Diceros bicornis minor: one gene and its partners. The protein of the gene in region 2 interacts with the protein of the main gene of each other region in a pairwise test. Links are inferred from orthologs where the notes say so. Each region holds a gene or a part of one and is shown on either strand. Other genes may lie near its edges.

Region 1 (8,063 bases), on a different chromosome or scaffold from region 2:
CTCCAATCCTACCCAGACCGTAAACGAATTAAACTTCTTAAAGTAAGGTTCCTTTTAAGGCTTATTCAAAGCCTCTATTTAAAAGAAAAAAAATGTTTTTCCTTTCTCTCTATTGTCTTGGCTAACTGTCCAAGACATATCTTCCTACTCTATTATAAAGATATAATTTGAAACATGGGGGTCTTTATAAATATGCTGTCTTCTACCTTTACGATTAATGCTGCCTTCAATATTCAAGAGAGCCTTTTACTCTTGTAGAATTTTTGAGCACATCTGTGCCATCCTTTAAAGATGCACATATCCTAATCCCTGGCACACTATGCTGCTCATTAACTGTTTTTATCAAGAATTAAGTTTGACTATGCCATAAATGCAGCTTTGAAATAAGTCATGGGGATGTAATGTACAGCATGGTGACTACAGTCAATAATATCGTATTGTATATTCGAAAAAGCTGAGTAGATTTTAAAAGTTCTCTTCACAAGAAAAAAGTTTTATAACTTTGTATAGTAACGAATGGTAACTACAGTTACTGTGGCGATCGCTTCTCAATGTATACAAATATTCAATCATAATATTATACACCTGAAACTAATGTCAATTATATTTCAATAAAAAAATAAAATGCAACTTTGAAGATTTATATATTAACATGCAAAATCACGCTAGTTTAAAGGTACAATGCACACCATTTTTGGACTGTAAGTGTACATATAGTGACCTCACTCATTCTCTTTTCAAAATAATAGTCCACTTCACTTAAGAACATTCAGTTAAGAATGAAACAACAGCAACTCAAACCATAAAGGAAATTTCATGATAAAGGTAGTTAGAGCACAGACCTTATGAAAGAGTGCCACTTTGTTTGAAATGAATTATTTTTAAAGCTTTTTTTTTTTTAAACATCATTTGATACTCAAAGAATCAATATGGGACAAACTATGGATCAGTAATTCACTTTTTCCCCTTTTCTAATTTATTTTTATTATTAAAGTATACATACAGTGAAATGAACCAAACACCTATGGTTAAAGACACAGAACATTACCAGTACCCTGGTAGCCTCCATGTGCCTATTCCATTTACAACCCCCACCATAACTATCTTGAAATTTTAACCATTCCCTTGCTTCTCATAGTCTTGTCATATTTGTAGGTATCCTTATACACGTTATGCTTCTACCACAACTTGTTTTGCTCAATATTATGTTTGTGAGTCACCCACACTGATACAAGTTTTTTTTCTTTTTCACCGCTGTATTGTATTCTACTGTACAAATATCCACAATTTGTCCAGACATTTAAGCTGTTACCAATATTCTATCATGAACAATGGGGTATAAACATTATTTTGCACACAGACATCGGAGCACGTGTACATGGGTTTCTCTAGGCCTTACAGTCTAGAGTACAAAGCTTGAGAGAGGAATTACTGGGTCATTTTCACCTCTATCAGATAATGTTAAGTTCTTTTTCCTAAGCGTTTATACTGAAATTCACTTCTAAACTTAGCTATTACTGTGAAACACTAAGCAAACATTCCACTTCTAGCCCTCCAAATTTAACATTAAGATCAAACATTTTCCTTCCTAACAAGGTATAATTCAAAACAATCTTTTTTATTTTTTAAATTAAGTGAAGGTGAGGTGCCTGTGACTACAAGGTCTGGTACTTGTGTATCTGAACCCCCAAAACCAAAAATGTTTGGAGAAAATATTAAAGAACACCTACTACAGAAAGACAATTACACACCGTATCTCAATTCCCCACAACAATGCAAAGTAAGGGCAATTATTATCCCCACCTTCAGATGAGAAAATAGGCACACAAAGGTTCAGGATCTTGCCTGAGGTTACATATATATTCAAACGGCATCACATTACTTTTTATCTAGAGATACAACTTTTATTACAAAAAAGTAACAGCACAAATCAACATGGATCTCTTAAGCAACTTTTTCGTCTAACCCGACATTAAGATTTGAATCTCAGGATCTGAGAGAACTTCAGTTTTAATCCTGTTAACATCCAACCCAGTAACCACGGCATTACTAAACGAAACACTTTCTAGTTAGGCTGAGAAGATAATGCTCCAGTCCAATTAGGGAAACAAAAGACTGAAAGGTTAAAAAAAAAAAACAAAAAAAACAACCTACACTAACGACCAAACCAAAAAAACCCCTCTCCCCAAATTTAGATGGCAAATAATTTCACTGTTTACTTTCCAAGATGCTTGCTTCTAATTTGTTAAAATACGACTAAAAGTGATAGAAAATACTTTTAAAACCACAAGTCAGCCTTCTGGTCTCTAGTTGCAAACCAGGTTTCCAATTCCAGGCACAGCTATCTCGGGCGACAGATAACACCAGGGAGGCCATTTCGCGTTCAGATTGCCTAGGCCGACCGCGGAGACCCCACGCTCTTCTCTCACCGCGAACCCCCGTGCTCCAGATGAACGCCGAGGCCTGGGGAATCAAGCGGCTCGGCCGGAACCGAGGCAAGGGCCGGGCCGGGGGTGCGGCGGTCACCCCCTCCCGCTCCCGCGGGGCCGCGCCACGACGGCCGTCCGCAAGGAGGGGCCGGGGCGTCGCCAAGCCGCCGCCCCCCGCCAGGTCATCAGCGACCCTGGGGCCCAGGCCCACCCCGAGGCCCGCGCTCGACCCCGCTATTATGCCTCGGGTGGCCCCGCCTGCGGAGTCGAGAGCGTCGCTCCCAGGCCTGCAGGCGCTCAAAGCCTCCGGCTCGGCTGCAGGCTGCGGTCTCCTCAGGAAGCAGCCCCCCGCGCCCCACGCACACGCGGAGCCTCTCCTCTCCTCCCCCCTTACCCTCCACGGTCACGATCCCGGTCCCGGTCCCCAAAGCCGCCTCCGCGCATGGTCCCAAATGGATAGAGATCTGGGAGCGGGGCACGGATGGCCGGGCTCGGGAGGGCCTGCGGCTCCGGTCTGGTGACGACCGATGGCGGCGGCGCCTCCGCTGTTGGGGCGGCGGCAGGCGCGGCGCTCTCTCGCTCCGACGCGCTGTCTCCCGTCGCAGACGCCACCGTCGCCGCCTCTCTCGTCGGAGACGGGAGCAAAACACAGAGAATCGGGGTTATAAAAACAGTGGCTAGGTTTGGCTACGCTCAAACCCGGCACTGCCGCGGTTTAGGCGTCTCCTTCCCTCCCAGCGACTGCACAAAATGGCGGCCGGCGCTGAGACTGCTCCAGCTTAACGCTACGTACGTCGGAGGCGATACGTAAACAGCGTCTCGGAACAGTCCGAGGGCTTCGCGGAGTACTACGGGTATTCTTGAAGGCATTTTACGTCAGTTGCGGAGGTGGGCGCATTTTGCGGCCGGCAGAAGTAAAACAAAGTACGGATCGAGCGTAGAGTTCTCGCGCCACCTGAACTAGAACGTGGTGGTGGGTGGGGGGGCGGTGAAGAGCCTCCGGTGCGACGTAACATTCTTTGCGTCGTTAGCCGGCCCACTATTGCGAAGATGCGCAGTGTGCGTAACGCATTCTGTTTGGAGAATAGAGGATTTTGCCGGGTTCCGACCGCGGGCCGGAATCCGGGTCCGCTTGTGCAAGTTTGTTTGCATAGACAATAACTGTCGTCCATCTTGCCGTCGTCAAGTTTCAGGGTCTCCAGGTGCCGAAAGTCCAGGAGGGTCTTCAGGGTCTCTGGCTGGCGCTCCTCCATGGCCTTGCCGGCTCTTCGGCCCCGCCGCCCTGGGCCTGCCGAAACTGACCGCGCGCCCGGCGCCATTTCCTTTCAGTTGCCTCCCGGCGCGCTGTCGCCGGCAGCCATGATGGATGCGCCATGTCGGTTCTTTCGGGAGTTGGTCAGGCGGCGACGTCCCCGCTGAGTTAAAGCACTCTTTGCTGCAGTTGGTTCACACAGAAGTGCATTTTCTGAACAGAATGTTTACCCTGTCCTCGGCTGAGCACAGTTGGCTAACAAAGAACCAAAATGTGGGTGAAGCCCCACTTACGGTGGCCGCCGCGGTCCTTTGGCCGCCATTAGCCGGCGCTGCCTCAGGAGGCCCGTGGAGGCCCTTAGCGCTCTCCCGAAGCGGAGGCGTCCAAGCGGTGGGCCTCAGAAAAGGTGAAGGCCTGAGGACGTGTTTGTGAGCAGGCTAGGCCGCGTTCTCTCTCAGTTCGTCGAAGCTGGCTCTTCTCCGCGCCTGCTGCTTCCCCTCCCACTGCACTGTGAAGTCCCACAGGCGTGGCTAGGTGGCCTCACGGAATCCTCGAGCCGCGAGGGCCCTTGGAGAGCGCTCGTTTGACATCTCTTTTATTTATTTCTACAGATGGATAGAAGGGGGGACACTTGAGGCCCCTCGTCGTGGGGGCCAAGTGGTGTCTTCCGCTCTGTTCTGTTTCCCAAATTACTGCAAAAGTAGCATAGGGAGTAGAGCTTCAGGACAGGCTGTTCAGATGTCTCTTGGGCCGAAAGAGGCAGATGGGCCGTGGGATTCATTGGACAAGTGTTGACGGCCTAAGGGATGGAGCAGTGGGCTGGGAACTGGGGCACAGCAGTGAACAAATGAGTTCCTGCACTCGTGGAGTTTACGCTCTAGTGGGGGAGATAGACAATAAATGTTTATGTTAGGCAGTTGCTAACTAAGATAAAAAGAAAGAAAAGTAAAGCAGAGAAAAGGGACAGAGAGTGTATGTGTGCCTGCGTGGGAGGGAAGTATGCCTGTTACATAGTGTTAAACAGGGTGTCATAGGAAGGCCTCCCTGATCAAGTGACATCTGAGCAGAGACCTCAAGTGAAGGAGCTAGCCTTGTTTACATAGCGGAAAGAGCAAGTGCAAAGGCCCTGTGGCAGAATGTGGCTGGAGTAGAGGTAGGAGGAAAGATGGGAGAAGGCCAGAAATAAGAAGGGCTTGTAGGCCAATGTAAGGACTTTGTATTTTCCTTTCAGTAAATTGGAAATCTCTAGAAGGTTTTAAGCAGACTGACATAATAAAAGGACCTCTACGACTACAGTGTGGAGAATTAAATTGAGAGTGAGCTAGGGCAGAAGCAGGCAGATTAATTGGGAGGCTAGTGCAGTAATCCAGGCAAGAGATGATGGGGCTTGGTTTGGGTTAACAGCAACCAGTAAAGGAGAAATGGTCTGATTGAAAATTGAGCCAATGATTTGCTGATGGGTGGGATAGGAAAGAAAGAAGTGTCAAGGATGAATCTTGTAGGAGTTGGCCAACAATTAAGCTCCTACTGTGTTTTAGACTGTACAGGAACTGAGGGAGTTATTTGGACTGGTTTGCCTATTTATCATATATGCTAAGTAATTAAATCTGAGGCTCTCTATATAACAATAAATAATTTATAAAGTAAGGTAAGTCCACTGAAACCCTCCCTACATTTTGCCAGGGGGAAATAATTCATATTTTGCTACTAGATCATGTCCCTGTCTTACAGCAACTCATAGCTCCTTTGTCTTCATAAAGCTTTTCACAGTATGTAATTATATAGTTGTCATTATTTGATTAATCCTGCCTTCCAGAAAAAGGGAACTTTGAGTCTTCCTCTGGCAGACAAGTTTCTGATTATAAAGTAAATCCATAGTATGCATTCTCATTCTTGATCTAATCTCTGTTTTCCTGCTGAAGATGGTTGAAGCTTATTACATTTTTTCTAAACACAGAGAAACAGTTTCATTAGGGAGGTTGGAGAACCTAGGAATTTCATTAGTAACAGCCAAGACCGTTGGTGAAAATGAAAATATACTTTGCTCAATTCATCCTTTTTTTGGAAAATCTAACCATACCTTACCGTACTATGCAATCCAGCAATCACACTCCTTGAGATTTCCCAAAAGATTTGACAACTTATTTCCACACAAAAACCTGCACAAGAATGTTTGTAGCAGTTTTATTCATAATTGCCCAAACTTGGAAGCAACCAAGATGTCCTTCAATAGGTGAATGGATAAACTGTGGTACATCCAGAACCTAAAATATGTTTTCAGAATTTTCTTAGGGGGGAATATTTGAAGACCACTAATTTTAAAAGGTGAACCCAGACCAAGTAGGGCCTGAGGGCGCTGGAGAGCCATGCTCCTTCTCAAGTGGGTGCCTCATTGTCCAGCCAGTTGTTGCCAGGTAGACATTCAGGCCCAGAGTGTTAGTTATTGACTCTGAATGTGTGTGTTAGTGACTTCTGTATTAGAGAGACATAGAAGAATCCCACCCTCACTGAGTGTTTTTCAATTTTGCTATTCTGTGTCTCTTGCTTAAAAACTTTCTGTGGCTCCCGTGACCTAAAGACCAAACTGTAGCTCCACAGTCTGACATTTAAGGCCTTCCAAATTCTGGCCCCAACCTCTTACCACCCTCCTGCTTTGGCAAATCTCTATTCTCTATTCTTCACCCACTTCCCCCCCCCCACAATTTCTGTGATTTTTGTTAATCCCTCTCAGTGCATGCAAATAGAAAAACTCAAGGTCCACTTCTGCCTCCTCCCTGCCTTGGAACCTTAGGGAAGTGATCTCCTGTACTCTGGCACTTAGAGGCATTAATCACTTGATTAACCCAAGGAAAACGATATTCTTTCTGATCTCTTTTTAGATAATGGGGGCAGCTGTTCACTTCCTCCCCTCAACACACGGCACACAAGCAAGCTGAGGAAGAAAAGAGTTCAGACTACACAGTCAGCTCACTAGGGATGAAACAGAATTTATTAAAGAGACAGAATGACTCACAGTCCTAGAGATTAACAGTGTTAATGCATGTTAAAGACTCTAAATGAGAAGAGGGGGTTTATAATTAACAAGGTGTGACAAATACTACACTCACATACACAAATGCTTGGCACTTATTTTTTGGAACACAGGATAAATCCACCCTGCCCTTTGCCTCAGCAAATGGACCTTTCTAATTAGGGCGGGACAAGAAAAATATTTTTGGTGATGAAAAAATTGTTATAATTCTTTAGCAGACTTCTAAGTCAAGGGATCATAGTAGCTGAAGGCTCTTTGGTCTGTTGCATATAAATAAATTTAAAGACAGTATTAAATGATGGGTATGGGAGTGCAAAATCCGAGAAGCCAAATAAAGTCAAAAAGCTTTGCATGGGGGATGTGGGGGAGGAGCCAATAAGGTAATGATTTTACCTTCAATAAAAGCAGTAATGCTCATTAGTGCTTAGTAGAGGGTGTTTGTTTAATGGAGGTGCCATTAAGATGCCATGGAGTACTGAGTTCCACTTCAAGATGGATGCCAGTTGAGAAGAGAGATTGTCTGTGGGGACGTAGCCACATATGAGGTAACTGGTTCTCCGTCCAAAGAGAAAATTCCGAGATATTTCAGTAGATTGAAAGGCACAGGGATGTAATTTTCTTTAGATTCCTGGTTCCTGCTGGGGAACACAAACAAGTCTTTCTTCTTTCCTGAAGAACAGGTGATTGGGGTTGCTTTTGACAAACATAAAGAGGAAAAAGCCTTCATAGGCTGGAGGGGAGGGAGTAGGTATACACTAAAATTGAGACCAAATTCCTTGAGCAAGAGTTAGAGGGGTGGGTTCGTGTTTTTTAATAGATTCCTCTGTGTTCTTCAGACAGATACAGGGGTATTTATTAGATATGGAGCTGAGTGGAGAGTCAGAGAGGAAAGTCGGCAATATCCTGCTGATGAATAGAATGGAAAGGAGGAGAACTGACCGCAAAGTATATAATTATGTTACAGTGAATTGTACTTTAGAAACCCAGAGACTTAATAATGTGAAGAAAAACAGGCTGGCACCAAAAATCAGAATATAAGGACAAAGACAGTGAAAACATCGATAGGTCAATTAAACAGCAACTGGTGTCTCTAAGATATTATATAATGAGAAGGAAAGCTGTAGTATTTACATAATTTTGATCACAGAGGCGAAATATAGTTTGCATATACTTGGAGGAAAACCAACTAGCCTTAGGGCTATCTCTGAGGAAGGACTGTGCCAAACAAGGACAGCAAACCTACACACATGCGCGCACACACACACACACACACACACACACACCCCCTCTGATCTGGGGGTGGTTCAGATTGTAACTGGGTAGAAGGAAGGCAGAGTCAAAAGGAGGGACT
Region 2 (8,062 bases):
AGAGGCCTTTGCCCTAATTTACCCCAAAGGGGACGTTTACTTGGTTAGTAGGAAATGCTTATCAAGTGAATTTTTGAGACAGCTGCACAGGTACGTAAATAAAGGTAAAACTTACATTAAAAACCTTGTATTTTAAAAAAAGGTAATTTTAAGGTTAACTTCGGATTCCACTGTGGACAGCCATTCTTAATTCCTGAAATTTCCCAACAGTTAAGATTTTTATCCTACCACTTCATTCCATTTCCAAGCAGTATCCATTTCCCAGCAGAGTTCTTTAATAGTAAATACAAGAGCCCTCATTTTAAGACAGCTCTCCAAAGACCAAAACAGAAAAGATGCTGAAGGGAAGGTTAGATTCAACCAAATGGTAAAAGGGGGTGAACTGTAAACACACTTTCAGAACCACTTTTTGATTAAACTGAGGTTTTTTTTTTCCCTTCAGAAAGTACCTATAAAAAGTAAAAAATCACGTTTTAGGGGGAGGGAGAAATATGAAATTATGGTGAGAGGCCATGCTGTGAAAAAGGTTCTTGGTTTACAATACTTGCAGTGTTCTCCACTGGGGCCATGTCCAGAGAGGCATAAGACACTCACCTCATCAACTGGCAGTGAGCAGCAGCTGAAAAGGATGGGGTGGGCTGTGGACTGGGGACTAGTGTTACCCTAAATGGGCCCCTCTACCTTCCTGGCACTCATGGAGAACACTGCTGTTATGAACAGACCAAACAAGGAGCTGCAAGTGCAGGACTCACTGAGCAAAAACTGACGAATTATGTCAAAGAAAGTACACCTGACCACACCTCATCTCAAAAAAGAAAACTTCACAATCTCAGGCTTGCAACAGATAAAAACACTGCTCAGAATAAACAGTAACAACCCGAAAATGCATCTGGATGCAGAACGTGTATTTACCTATATAAGCTCTTTCTTGTTCCCGAGTAAGTCCAGGGGGGATAACTGTAGGCATTCCTGGAATCACTGTCTTTTGTTCCATTGTGTCCTGGTTCCAGCGGCTCCTCTTCCGCTTCTTACTCGGGAAGTCTAAAGGGAGATACAGACCATGAGACACAAACATAAATCAACACAGTAACTACCAACACGTAGTTCAGGATACTTATAACGTTACAAGTTCAGCAGGCTCTGAAACTGAGAACTTGACCTAAAACTTAAATGGCAAAGTACACAAGTCAAACCTGAGACACACACCACTATAAGCAGACCTGGACCTGGGTCCAAAAGGTTAACATTTCACATTTATAATTTTTGTCCAGAAAAACGCTGTAAAGTATGTAAACAAATCTTATCGCATAATTTCCGATAGTGAAATAAAATGTTTCGAAGACATACGCTACATCATGCCTTAAAAGCCCCAGGGGAGACAAGAGTAGATTGAATCACCACAGGCAAGTTCGTAAAGCAACATCGGCAGACTGCTGGCTCCTCCCACCTCCACCTCCCCACCAGCAACCTTTCTAAATGGGCCACAACACAACTAAACCTACGGTTACTAAGTGAAAAAGCCCCACTCTTCAATAACATCACTTATTTTCTTAAGTTTAGCGCAGATAAGCAATTTTCCTGGCCAGTTTGGAAACTTTGTGTCTGAACTCCTCGTTCAACAGGGAACAAGCGATGCAATAGTAACAAAATCCTCCTTCCCCCATACATAGGCAGAAACTCCCTACACATCTGGTGCACAAAAGTCGTTCTACTTCCCGAGAGGAAAGCCCCAGCAACTACGAGGAGGAGGCGGACCAGACTTGTCTAAGGGAAATGAAAGGAGATCAGAACGAAACACAGGAGTCCCTCCCTAAAAAACGGCCACAAAAGATCGGACCAACCACTCCCTGAAGACTTCCATCCTCTCTCGTTCTCCGCACTGAAATCCCTGCCTTACTGTAAAAGACGGACTATTTTTAACACTTTCCTTCTTTTCTGCCTCCTCTACAGCCAGAAAGGAGATGTTCCACGTCATCACTTGACCCTTTCACTCCCTGCTGACATGCACCCCCAGCACCCCGTCCACCCACTCGACCCTCTCCACACCGCTCCCCTACACCAGCGGCTGGAGAGCAACAAGGCCCGTCCCCCCCCCGCCGCCGCCGCTTTTAGTCGGGCCCGCAAAGCCTAAGCAGCCACATTGCGCATGCGCACAGCAAACGTCCGCCCGCCCTGTGCCCCCTCCTCCCGAGCGCGTGCGCACTCGTGGCCCGAGCCCCAGGCCGCGCGCCCCGTGGCGCCTCCGCCCGGGCCTCCCCGTGCGTGCGCGCGCGCGCCCCTGCCGCGTGCAACAGCAGCCGCCGCCGTCGCCGCCGCCGCCGCGCGCGCCCCTCAGCCGGCCGGGCCCGTCCGCGCGACGCCTCTCGCGCTCTCTCGGCCCGACTCACCTCCTCCGCCGCCGGCCGGGCCCGGCTGCTGGTTCTGACGCGGCGGCTGCGGCGGCGACACGCGCTGGTAGAGCGGCGGCGGGTACGCGGAGCCCGGGGAAGGCGGCGGCGGCGGCTGCTGGGGCGGCGGGGGGGGCGGCGGCGGCGGCAGTGCCGCGAAGGGGAAGGCCGCGGTCAGGGCCCCCGCCGAGCCCACGGGCCGGCGCGGCGGCGGCCCGGGCACCAGCAGCCCCGCCCCAGGCCCGGGGGCAGGCGGGGGCCCCGGCTCGAAGCCCCCTTGGGGCGCGGGGACGGGAGGGAGGCCGGGGGGGCCCAGCTTACCCAGCGGCGTGGCGTTCGCTCCGGTCGCCATGGCGCCCCCAGGGACCGGCACCGGCGGCTCCTTCTCGGCGGCTCCTTCGCGAATCTTCCGGGGGGAGGAGACCCGACTGCGCTGCCGCGGAGCGCGCGGAGTCCGTCCTCTCACGCGGCGGGCGGCGGCGGCGGCGCGAGACGCACAAAGAGGGAGGAGAGAGGGCGCCGCGGGGGCGGGCCGGGGGCGGCGGGGCCGGGGCCTGGATTGGGCCGGGCCGAGGCGAGGGGGTCGGAGTCGGCGCCCTCCGATTGGCGGAGCCTTAGTCCTCCTCGCTGCACCCTGGGATTGGCCGGACCGTTAGGCCAGGCGAGGAAATGGCGGCCGAGCCCGGCCAGCGGGGAGGTGTCGCAGCGCGCACTTCATTTGTTACTGCGCGGACTAAGCTCGGAGGCCAGAAAGGAGGGGAGAGGGCGGGCAAACTCTGTGACGTCGGGACCAAGCGCGCTCTCATTGGCTGCAGTGGATAGAGTCAACCATGCTCAGTTGCGTCGTAGTGTCATGGGATTGGCTGTCGCTGGTTGGATCCTTTTTCTACACCCCTCCCCCGGGGAGCACTTTCGCTGGGATTAAGCGAGAGGTCGCGGCGGAAAAGCCCTGGCCGAACGAGATTTAGGGCGGGGGAGGAGTCGAGTCGGAGCGCGCATGCGTAGTTGGGTCAGCACCGCCTCTCCGCCCCTAGCTTCACGGTCGACCCCCGGTCCGGCACGGAAGCGCCAAGTGACGTCAATCCTCGATTGCCATGGTAACCCGGAACCGGCGAGGGGGGAGGGGCTGGCGCGCGCCCGTGAAGCGGGTCCGTTGACGCCGCAGGTAAAAGGGACTTCCTGTTTTCTTTGAAAAGGATAAGAACTGAAGGAAAAAACCTATAGTCTTATTGAAGGATTAAAAACGATATCTGAGCCGATGGAAGAACGCGTAATCTTAGGCGGAAAACAATATAAAGTGTCAATTCCAAGATTAGTTCACAATGTATTTCCATTAAAATCTTATCGAGGTTGAGGTTAAATCATCTCAAAATCATATAAAATAATAACTATGAAAGTCGTGGAGAAACTTGTACACACAGTTGAGGAGGAGCTTGCCTTTCTGGATAATGCAGAATAAAAGACGCAGTAAACAAACAATGTGATGCAGGAAAGATTAGCACAACTGAATAGAGGACGGAAATAGATTCCCCGTATATATGTAGGAATACCACAAAGATGGTGTTTCAGTTCAGTAAGGAAAAGATTCAGTTGGTAAATGGTAACAGTCCTAAATCTAAATAAAACAGACGTGGAATACAATTTAGGAGACTATCGGGGTCATCTAGGGGTAGAGACTTTATGAAGACAAGTGTAGGGAAGGAAAAATTTTTCTTCTACCCTTCTTGGTTGTCTGGCTGATCTGATCAAGTTAACAGGACACATTAACAGGAGAAAAACAATTATAATTATGTAAGGTGGGAGAATATGATACCCAAAGAAGTGTCCAAAGTGCACAGCTGTTATACCTTTTAGACAAAGAAACAGTAAATCTGTGAAGAATTAACAAGACAAAGAAGTCTGGGCTTGGGGTAGTAAATTAGTAAAGAAGTAACAAGGTTTGTTTATATAGCCTTCTCTGCCCTTAATTCTCTATCTCTAGTGATAAGGATGTCTCTCTACCTCCTGGTACAGGGAGGGTACATTTCACATGGGAGATTTATTTCCTACTTTCAGGGGGCAAAGGAAGGTCAGCATGTCCTTCTTGGCACTGGCTGCCTCTTAAGTAACAATTCAAAATAATCAATATGCCAAAGTGGTATATTTTGGGGTGGCCTGTCCTGAACCCCAACACAGGAAATCCAAACTATAAGGAAGAGATATACTTGATTACCAAAGAAACTAAAACTGTGATAAAAGCCAACGGACAGTAATATATCAGGGAAATATGCTTGCCACATGTACAATAAAGAGCTAATATCTATAATATGCAAAGAAGTCTTAAAAACTAATTAGAAAAAAGACAAAAACAATAGGAAATGAGCAAAGGCTATGAATAGGCGAGTCTCGGAAGAGCAAATGCAAATAGCCAAAAAATATGAAAGGATACCAACCCCCCAAGAAGGGAAATGGAAAATTAGGTGATAATGAGGACTCTATATAACCATCAAAATCGCAAAAAACAAATGCACTCACACTGACTACTGTGAACATTTTTGGAAAGCATTCTGTTTCTATTAAAATTGTACCCCTTTCAGGAAAAATAAAAAAACCTTTTCAATGTAGCAGTCCCACTCGTGGGACTCTGCCCTAAGGCAAGGCGTGTGGTTATATAATATAACGTGTTCAAGGTTGTCTCCTGCATTTACTGCAGCTTTGTAATGGCAAAAACCTGGAAACAGTGAATTTCCATTGATATGTGAATGGTCAAACAAACTGGAATATCCATAACCTGGCTTATTAGGCACCTTGAAAAGGAGTTAATCCATACTAACTGACCTAGAGGGACTTCTGTGCTGTATTATTATTAAATGAGAAAAGAAGCAGAGAAATATGTATTACATGATCTTGTTTTTGTAGAAGAAACAAAGCCCATATATGTGCATGCTTGTTTGCGTAGGATTATGTGAGTGCAGAGAAAGCTGTGGAAGGATACATGGCACATTATCAGTGAAGACATTGCAGAGGGAAACGGGTGCCTGGACGTTATCCAATACAGTTTAGGAGCCCAACATATTTTATAAATGTGCTTCAGGGGCCTACCTGGTGGTGTAGTGGTTAAGTTCACACGCTCCGCTTCCATGGCTCAGGGTTTGTGGGTTCAGATCCCGGGCACAGACATACACACTGCTCGTCAAGCCATGCTGTGGCAGTGTCCCGTATAAAGTAGAAGATTGACACAGATGTTAGCTCAGGGCCAATCTTCCTTACCAAAAAAAAAAAAAAAAAAAGTGCCTCATACTTTTTAAAAATGTGTGACATGGTCCCATTTATAACAACATTATATATAACTGTATAGATATAAAGAAATGCATTGACAGGACAATCACCAAATTTCCGATGGTAAGGGGATCTCAGATAATTTTTACTTTTTTTCCGCCCATTTCTATTTATTCTAATTTTTTACACTGAGCAAGTGTTATTTATATACCAAATATTAAGCTAATATTGTAGACAAGAAAGGAAAAATATAAAATGTTTAAATCATCTGTTTGAAGGAAAAATTAATTTATTCAGTAAATACGACAAATTCTATGGAGGCAGGAAGAAAAGAGTCATCCAATGTTTGAGCAGCTACTGAGTGCAGACCAGCTTGGTGGCTACCACCGTAAATGAAATTCGGTTCCTGCCTTCCAGAGAATCGTAGTCTAGCAAAGGAGAAAGACAAATGCACGAAGAGAAATGTACTGTTAATGCTAATAATGACACCTCCGTACTAATAATGGTGAAGGCTGCAGCTGGGACTGTCTCAGGGGGCAGGCATTGTCACTGCTTTGTAGTCATTTCAGTTTAATCTCTTTTATCCAGGATTTTGTGGGAGTATTTTTTAATCACCAAGTTAAAATATTTTGGTCATCTTTTTATTATTAATTCCTATTTTTGTTAGATTTTGCAGAAGATGGCCTTAAAAATCTCTACTTTTTCAAAAAAGTACGATTTTCTTTGTGGTTAAATATATGATCAATTTTTGTAACTGTTCCAAGGACAAATTAATGGCTGGAGAGTTCGGATGTTGGCTGCTCCAGGCTCTGTTCTGAGTTCTTGTACACGTAGTAGCTCATTTCACCCACACAACTTTTGGAGATGAGTATTCTCTCTAATTTATAGATGAGAAAACTGAGCCACAAAAAGCTGAACTACCCACGGCAAGGTCTCACAGTCTGCCAGGATAGTCTGCTGGTGCAAGACTCCTCTGTGGACAGAACAGGGTTGGAATGCAGACCGTGCTGCTCTCTGGCTGAGGACCACTGAGCCAACTTCCCATTTTTGAGGCAAGTTGCAGTCCTATGGGGCCAGCCATCCTCCAGCTGGCAGCTAGGGAAGGCATTTAATCTCTCCATGCCTCAGTTGGTCTGTAGAAGACTAATATTAACGCTAGTCTGCAGGGTACTGTGCTGATTCAATGAGATGAGAGGGCACGTTGGTTTTAACGGGGCATCTCCTGAGCTGCAGGCGCAAGAATTACACACAGATATCAGATGCAGATGCCTCCTGATCTTATACAAGGGTGCGGTACAATAAAAAATATATGTCTGGTCTTTGTCCGCAGATCCTGGCACAGAGCTTCAGAAACCCTTGGGATTTCCTAAGCGATAGGAGTGTCTTTCATTTTTCCTGAGGAGCTCCTCTGGCCCATACCTGAGGTTAGCTAACAGGGTGACTCATTGCCAGCTCTGAGGGCCCAGTGACAGCTTCAGGATGCTGGCTGGTCACCAGAAAAACCAGCCAACTTTCAGCCCCACCCCCCACTTCAGGGGCTGGAGATTGCATTCAGTCACACGGCCAGTGATTTAATCAACAGTGCCTGTGTAATAAAACCTCAATAAAAACTCTGAACTGTGAGATTCGGAGAGCTTCCGGGTTGGTGAACATATTGATGTGACAGGAGGGTGGTGTCCCCTGACTCCACAGGGACAGAAGCTCCTGGGCTCAGGACCCTTTCAGACCTTGCTGCCCTCTGCCTCTCCTCATCTAGCTGTTTATTTGTATCCTTTATATTAAAACGGTAAGCATAATATAGCACTTTCCTGAGTTCTGTGTTTCATTCTGGCGAATTATTGAACATGAGGGGAGTTGTGGGAACCTCCGAATTTGTAGCTAAGTTGGACAGAGGTGTGGGTAACCTGGAGACAAGACCCAGGACTTGTGGCTGAATTCCTTAACCTGTGGGGTCTGCCGACTCAGGGTGGTTGGTGTCAGAATCAAATTGAACTGTAGGACATCCAGTTGGTGTCAGAGAATTGGTGTTGGAATGTAAAGGGGGAGAGGTTTCAGCCCCTTCCTGCTAATCCCTGGCGGTTTTCATCTTGTAACTCTACCTCTGATAGTTCAGAAGCCCCAAGCCGCAGGCAAGATTGAGAGGTCGTGTCACCCAGCTAGCTGAGACTGGAGGGAGCAGATCCGTGGTTGTCTGCTCAGTGTCCCGCCTTTGGAGAGCCCCGCACGTGACTCCATTGCCCAAATTAGGAATAATGATATCTTCTATGGAGTGAGCACCTGGGATGCACCAAGTACTTTTCATAATTTTGTTTTTCCTGGAAAACCAGCTTTAGTTACAGCTTCTTATTAAAGGTAATTTGAACTAGGGGGAGATGGGTAGTGGAATTTGTGGAATTAGATACAAATTAGAAATAATA
Region 3 (7,967 bases), on a different chromosome or scaffold from region 2:
GTTAGATTACACTCTCATCAAATTACAGGTAACTGCTCAAACCTGATTTTTATTGTAATACAGAAAGCTTCCTCATAACAAAACACTTTCAATTCCAAGGATAAGTCCAACCTTCCATCATTCTGCCCATTTGGGAACTATAAAAAAAAAAAATTCTAAATATTGGGTATTTTTATGTGCTCAACTGTGAAAGCCAAGGAAAGTGGTTTGTTTATGAGCTCAACTCTGAAGCTTGAACAAAAATAGAATTATTTTGATCCTACTGGTGCCAATGTTATCCTCTTTATATCCCTCCCCAATTTTTCTCAGTCTGAGCTCTAATCAACAGCCACTTCATGTTTAACATATCATAGTTAATCTAATTGAGTCTCGAAAACTGTTTCCCTACAGATGTTTCCTCTGTTCACACCCCTCTCTACCTTCCAGCATCACCATTCTGCCATGAGAATGAGCATATCAATAAGCTTTAAACAAAATTTCTGATGAATAGATGGAGATATTGTTTCTGTAGTTAATGCAATGTGCCTACATCAACATCATCCCCTAAAAAAATTAAAAAATGATTCTATATGCTTTATTTATCCACATCTGACAGAATTCTGACCACCTGAATTATTTTCAAAGAAAATTCAATCTACAGAAATACAGTCCAATTACTTTAAATCTTATCAAAGAGAATCAAATGAAAAACTCCATCAATACCAAACCATCTCACCAATGAATATTTATGACATTTCCATATTTCCTGTTTTCTCTCTGTTTACATAAAGCGATGGTGCCAAGATTCATCTCAGGATTATTAGCCTGCAATACAATGATGGGCCTAATTGCCTTGCAAACCAGGACACCAATAAATGGAGTCTTTAAGCAATCAATTTTAAGAGGAGGAAAAAAAAAAAGCCCTAAGCTCTTTCTGCACACATGCACGTTGCCTGACTAGGAAATAAATTCAGCCTCATATTTTTCAGTCTCATTCATCGGTTCTCAAGCAAGGCATGCTCCCTTAACTACCTCAAGCTCATCAAATCTATTTAACTCCAAATTCCAGAACTAATTTTTAAATGCACCAGCAAGAGGGCAGAAAGGAGAAGCTAGAGACATCACAGAGAAAGATATCTATCACATTCCAGCTTCATCTTCCCCACCTTTAGTTTAGGAGTGGGAAAGTTTAAAAAAAAAACTTTCTTTTTATGATATACGAATGAAAGAAGACACCCTCCCCTCCTTAATTCTACCTTAACTGCAGCCACTCTGAACTTTACCCTTTACCCTTTGATTTACTTCCGAATATGATACTAATATAAATGAAACAAACAAAAAGATTAAACTAACAGCCAAAGACGTCCTCTAGGAATCTTCAACGTACCTTCTCTCCCCTGCAGTCCCCTCTGTTACCGCCCCTCCCCCAACCACAGCCTCCAGAGCTGTCCATTTAAGTCCAACCTCCAACCCTCTTGTATCTCATGGAGGCCACCCCAATCCACCCTCTCCAGAATCATCCAATCCACCTCTTCCCAGCACTGCTCACTGTCCCTCTCCATCTTCTCTGCCCCATCCATACCAACAACTCCATGTCTCCCACCCCTTAAATAGCCTCTCTGCCACTTCACCATTAGCAACCACCTCTCCAGTCCCACCAGTTCATCTCAGACATTCCTTCTCCAAAACTCCCGCTGCCACCTTAGCCAAGGAACATTTGCTTCAAGATCCCATCCCCCAACCTTTCTCACCACCTGCCACTAGTCTTTCAGTGAGTCCAGCGCAGTGGCATCTTCTGTGCCCTCTGCCTTGACCCTGCATCCAGGGAGTGCCATGCCCCTTCCCATGGTTCTACGATCACTCTAAATCCCATCTCACTGAGCCCTCTCCCCCAGTTTCAATCCTTGTCTGCCCATTTTGGGCCTAACTTCTAATTTACCCCCCTCCTGCCAGCTCACCATCATGCTCCCCTCATTGAAAGTCCCACCCCTGCCAGCTCCTGTTCCAACCTCCATAAGCACTCCCTAGGAAAACCCCAAATTCTGCCTCCTTTGCTCTCCTAACCCACGCTATTCCATAAGTCCCCACAAATTCCACCACCACCAAATGGCAAACGCCCACTTCAAGCTCAGGTCTCAACCCATGCCAAGCCCTTTACCCCCAGCTCCTACCACCTCTATTAGCCCGCCCCGGGTCCACCCCAAATTCCACCCGACTGAATTAACACCCTCCAGGGTCCTAACCAACCCCGCAAGCCCACTCTCTATTGAAATCACCCCTCTACCGCGCGTCCAGCTCGGATCCCAAGCTGTCAACTGCTCCAGGCCAACCCCAAATCCACCACCCTCATTCAGTCCCCTCCCCCATTAAAAGCCATCCCACTCCAGTCTCATCATCCATCTCACACAAAACCATCCCAAATTCCACCCCGACCCCCCCAACCCCACGCTCCTGTCCCAGCTCCGGTCATTCCCCATTGAAAGTCCCCTTCCCCTGTCCCCCCCCAAACCTGCTTGGGTCCCACCCTCACCCCACCCCCAGCCCGCGCCTGGACAAGTATCCCCTGCCAGCGCGCCGTTCCACCGCGACCTCAACCCCCTTCCGCCAACCCGCGTGGGGGCTCTGCAGCCCCCACTCTCATTCTCCCCAGCACCACCCGCCCCGGCTCAGAGAGAGCGGACCGGGGGTGGGGGGCGGGGAGGGGGTCTCCTCACCGACGAGCCGCTGTAGGCGAAAACGGCGGCGGCGGCGGCTGAGGCGGCGATGCCCTTGTCTTCTCTGGAGGCTACTGAGGCGACGCTCTCGCTCCCTCGCCCGTGTCCAGTAAGGTGGCGGATGGCGCGCAGGGACCGGGAGCCTCCTCCTTCTCAGCGACTCGGCTCTGAATCCTCTGCAGTAGCCGCCGAGGAGCCCGACGGGTGGGGGAGGGGGCGCTCGGCTGCGGGTGAGGGAGGAGGAGACGGAGGGAGGGGGCGGGGGACCGCCGAGAAGGGAGGGGAAGGAGGAGCCGGCGCGGCGCCACGACACGTCCCACAGCCTCAGCACCCCGGGACCACAACTCCCGGCATGCCCTGCTCCTGCCCGCGCGCGGCCTGCGCCTCTAGCCGCGCGCCCAGTGCGCAGGGGCCGCGCCCTTCCTGGTCGCGGACAATGGAAGAAAGCCAACCATCCGCAGGCTGCTTTTGTAGACTCAAAGACCACCTGTGAGGGAAGTTAGGTCGCCCCGCGGCCCCATACCCAAGTGGTGATGTTCGCAGCGTCTCCAACCTTTACACGCGCGCGCGCGCACGCACACCCACACGCACACCCACATAGTCGCAGCCCTCTGGACTACGTTTCCCAGCATGCCCCATAGCCTCTCACTCTCCTTCCGGCCCTTCTTAGACCTGGTACTACAGTTCCCAGGGAGTGCGGTCCCCGCGAAATGCTGGGAGATGAAGTTCTCAGTTCTTCCTCCATGTTAAGAAAAAGAAATGAAAGAGAGGAAAAAAGGAAGGAATATGCCAACCCACTGAGGACAGGCCTAAATGGACTAGATCACCTGTGAGTCTGTACTGTCTTCGCCATTCCCGTTGCGACTGTCTCACACCAGAACTAATGCAGCAGCTTCCTCCTGGTCTCCCTGCAAATCTGAGGACGATTTGGCAATTTGAATCCAAATGTAAAAAGGGCATACTTCTTGACCCAGTTCCGTTATTTTTAAGAGTTTACCTTAAAAAGATAAACAATTTGGAAAAGATGAATGCACAAGGTTGTTATATGAGGTTGTTAAGGTTGTTATATGAGGTTGTTGTTATGGGGGGAAAACATAAATCTTCATCAATAGGGGGCTGGTTAAATTACATATTCAATCAATGCAATACTAAGCAGCCGTTTAAAATAATGATAGAGATCTAGTTATTGACAGGAAAAGCTATTCACAATTTATTCTCGAGGGGAAAAATTGATTACAGAACAGCACGTTGAGAACGGTCCAATTTATGTGAAGTTTGAGACAATATTCTATAAACATAAAGAGATTTGAGAAAAGAGCTTCCTCAAAATATTCTCTGTGATTATGTTGGAGTAAAGGGTGTCAGATTTCAAGTAATTTTTATTTTCATATTGCCTGAATTGTTTAAAGGAAGCACATAATTTTTTAAGCTATAAGACTACTTTCAAAAAATATAATTTCCAGGGGCCGACCCTGTGGCGTAGTGGTTGAGCTCCTGCGTTCAGCTTCCGCAGCCAGGGGTTCGCCAGTGAGGCTCCTGGGCGTGGACCTGCTCACAGCTCACCAAGCCATGCAGAGGTGGCGTCCCATATAGAAGAGCCACAGCTCTACAACTATGAAACACAACTATGTACTGGGGCTTCAGGGAGAAAAAAGAAAAAAAAAACAAAAAGAGGAAGATTGGCAGCAGATGTTAGTGCTTCCTCAAAAAAAAATATATATATATAATATATATATATGTATATATAAAATATCCAAATCCAACAACCTTTCTGCTGCCTAAAAGCTCTCTGTGGCTTCCTGTTGCCCTTGGTGATGCTCCAGGACTAAGCCCTTCTGATTTTTCTGTGAGCTCAACAGTTCCCCTATTAAAACAAATAATGATGGTCACTTACAATTCATGAAAGAACATTAAGTTAGTAGGGAAGATTTTCTCAATTTTCGTTGTCTCTTCTCAAATTTTTCCTTGTTCTGATCTTTCCACACCTGATTCCTCCTTTTCTCCTACTCATTCTTGAAACTCAAACCAAAGTCCTACCTTCCCTAGAACATATTTTAAGCACACTGATTTTCCTTATATCTAAATTCTTAGAGCAATGGTTTCTAATCTGTGGGCCAGAGATCACTTTGGGGAAGGGGAGTGAACAGGAAGGAACAAAGTTATTGTGAAAGGTCTACAAAGGTCTACTTAAACAAAGCATTGTCTATAGACTGAATAAATAAGTCTTACGCTTAAAAGATTTTTTTCCTTCTTTTGTGTCCAGCTCTCCTAGAATATGGAATATAGTATTAGATGATCTCTGATTTAGCATAAATCCTGTATTCAGTTACAGTATTTAGATTTTATGTCATTATTTCTTTTTTTTAAATCCTTTTTTTTCCCCCCAAAGCCCTAGTAGATAGTTGTATGTCATAGCTGCACATCCTTCTAGTTGCTGTACGTGGGACACGGCCTCAGCATGGCCGGAGAAGTGGTGCAACGGTGCGCGCCCGGGATCCGAACCCGGGTCGCCAGCAGCGAGCGCGCGGACTTAACCACTAAGCCACGGGGCCGGCCCTACATGTCATTATTTCTTGGTGTTCTGCAAGAAACACCAGAACATGCCAGCTCCATTAGCCAGCCCACTGGAGAACTGCAGGCCTACTGGAGAAAGCCCAGGTTGCCTGGATCAGAGGTTAAGTTGGTAGACAGTCCTGCTGCAGCCAATCACTTCAGCTTCACCCCACCTAAATCTAGTAACACGCTTAGCCGTTGACTCACTTTCCCCAAATACATCAGGCACTGTCTTTTTCAAACTGCCTATCTTGTTTTTCATCCTATTCTCCCAGCCTTAAAATCCCAGCACCTCCCCCCCACAGAAAAAATCCTAGCCCTTTTGCCCCCGTTTCTGAGAATAGTAAGAAAAGTGCCTATGACATGTTGGCTGTGTCCTTTCCCCTCTCTGAGTGTTGCATTGGCCATCCCTTCTTCTAACCCTCTCCCCTCCTTCTCCTCCTCCTTTTCCTCACTTCTACTGGCAGAAAGTGGGGGCTGGGTGGTCAAAATTAGAAGGGGTCTGGTCTGTCCAGCAAGTAAAGCATTATCTGAGCTAGGGGAATAAGTATGAGGAAGCTTACCAGGCTAGGAATCTGGAAATCAGATCCTAAGTTAGACCTTGCCTTGAACATGCTGGGTGACTTTTAGTAAGTCCCTTAACTTTTCTGAACCTCAGTGTTTATATCTGTAAAATGGAAGGAATAATTCCTAACCTGTCACCTCATAAGGTTATTAGGAGAATCCAATAAAACTATGGGTATGAAAGTGCTGTGAAGACTGTAAAGTGTCACTTACAGTCCAAACCCTTCATCTAATGTGAGAATTCTTTCTCCAAATCCCTGCCAAATCTTGGCATGTAAACTTTTTACTCAGAGTTATATTATTACTAATGAATTTATTAAAGTATTTAAGGAATTAACTCCATTACGTCAATTCAGTTCCTTGATAAATTTTCTATATAACACAGTTAAACAATTTCTAACTTTTCTAGATTTTTTTCTATATTGAATTTTCCTCAAGATATATTCTTTTGTCTATCAATTTTCCAAGAAAGATTTAATTTATCAGTTACCTTTTATCTTTATCAATGTTTACTGATTATTGCTTCAGCTGTTATGAAATTTCTAGTCATTATTTCCATCAAGTCTACCTTTTCCTGGGAGCATTTTGAGCCATTGTCAGTTTTATTTTGTGTTGATTACTTCTACCAAGTGGAATTTTCCGGGGGGTCAACTTTGCAATGTTCAATGTTTACCAACAAAGATGGGATCATTCAGTTTGCTTTTCCATCCATAATATATTTTTACCATGTGTAGTTTTAGCCATTGTCAGTTTTATTTTGTGTTGATTATTTCTACCACAACCAATTTTTTTTCTGCAACCCAACCAAAACAAGCTCGGGGTGGAAATGACAGTGTCAAAACACTATCCTTTGCCTGTTACTATCTGATTAACTTGGACTGTGAAATGCTTTTGTCCTAGCTATGTTAATGAGCTGGCCTTGAGCTCTCTCTCTCAGAGTTTCTCTTTAGGAGCCTTGGGACACATGTGTGGGCTGGAGTATTACTTTAAGAATTGCTTTAGAATTACAGGAAAATGGACATTAGAGACCATGTTAGGAGAACCAATCTTTAATGAGCCAGGTGCTGTGCTGGTGTCTAAGATCCATTATCTCATTTAATCCTTCAGCCTACACTGCCTTCACATGCGCATTTTATCACAGAGGAAGTTGAGACCCAGAGAGAGGAAGAGTTGGCCAAGTTAGGGTCAGAAACCAGACCCTGGTTTAATTCTCAGTTAGTGCAATTTGAATGATTGTATGTTCCAAAGTTATCTAATTTAATTTTTAAACTTTTGTAATCATCTTGTTGGAAAATTAAAGTATAATTTTTTTTTTATAATTTTATTTATTTATTTATTTCCCCCCAAAGCCCCAGTAGGTAGTTGTATGTCATAGCTGCACATCCTTCTAGTTGCTGTATGTGGGACGCGGCCTCAGCATGGCCGGAGAGGCGGTGCGTCGGTGTGCGCCCGGGATCCGAACCCGGGTCGCCAGTAGCGGAGCACACGCACTTAACCGCTAAGCCACGGGGCCGACCCTAAAGTATAATTTTTTAATTTAGCTAAGATATAAAACAAGAGAAATACTCATGAATATAAACAAAGCATTCTCAAAGAGATTTTTGTGACAGCAAATGAGGCAAGGAGTGTGAAAATGTTTTGTAAATGACCCAAACCTGGGAAAATGGAAGTTACTGCCATTTGTGACAAAGTGTGTTATATAAACCTGTGTGCCAGCTTGACAGAGTGCTAGAAAACTAACAAAACACACTAACGTCCAATAGATGGGTATCAAATGCCCATCCTAATATTTAATTCTAATAGCCAATATTAAAGGAATAAGATTGCATCCTGCGTACCCTTTAAGACCTAATTCGGACATCAGGAAACCTCTCCTGACCCCGGTTAGGTTAGGAGCCCACTCACTCCCATAGCCTGCTCACACTCTGTGTTCACTATCTGTTTACTGCCCTCAAGGACAAGGACCAAGGTGGTCTGGCTCATCTCCGTGGCCCTGAGCTGGTTCACCTGGAGCTTCTCACAGGGTAAGGTTTCCGTAATCAACCAATCAACCAATTAACATGACAAGTATATAGACTATATAGACAACCATTTAAAGTGACAAGGGAAATATCTCAATAAAGCTGGGAAAAAAAAATTTTAACGACAAAGGGAAGA

The links.
Region 1: the proteins of SF1 (region 2) and DDX17 interact in binary tests that used the Homo sapiens proteins (3 or more experiments, as listed by UniProt). The link is inferred for Diceros bicornis minor from reciprocal best matches to the Homo sapiens genes SF1 and DDX17.
Region 3: the proteins of SF1 (region 2) and FAM168A interact in binary tests that used the Homo sapiens proteins (3 or more experiments, as listed by UniProt). The two-hybrid records come from large-scale screens. The link is inferred for Diceros bicornis minor from reciprocal best matches to the Homo sapiens genes SF1 and FAM168A.

Annotation. Positions count from the first base shown.
Region 1 is NC_080764.1:11,437,633-11,445,695, reverse strand, and holds the start of DDX17 (probable ATP-dependent RNA helicase DDX17), read right to left. Parts: upstream 3,035-8,063; 5' UTR 2,874-3,034; coding exon 2,824-2,873; intron 1-2,823. UniProt on the Homo sapiens protein: As an RNA helicase, unwinds RNA and alters RNA structures through ATP binding and hydrolysis.
Region 2 is NC_080770.1:8,309,206-8,317,267, reverse strand, and holds the start of SF1 (splicing factor 1), read right to left. Parts: upstream 3,058-8,062; 5' UTR 2,740-3,057; coding exon 2,388-2,739; intron 1,042-2,387; coding exon 913-1,041; intron 1-912. UniProt on the Homo sapiens protein: Necessary for the ATP-dependent first step of spliceosome assembly. Binds to the intron branch point sequence (BPS) 5'-UACUAAC-3' of the pre-mRNA. May act as transcription repressor.
Region 3 is NC_080746.1:57,260,780-57,268,746, reverse strand, and holds the start of FAM168A (protein FAM168A), read right to left. Parts: upstream 3,074-7,967; 5' UTR 2,694-3,073; intron 1-2,693.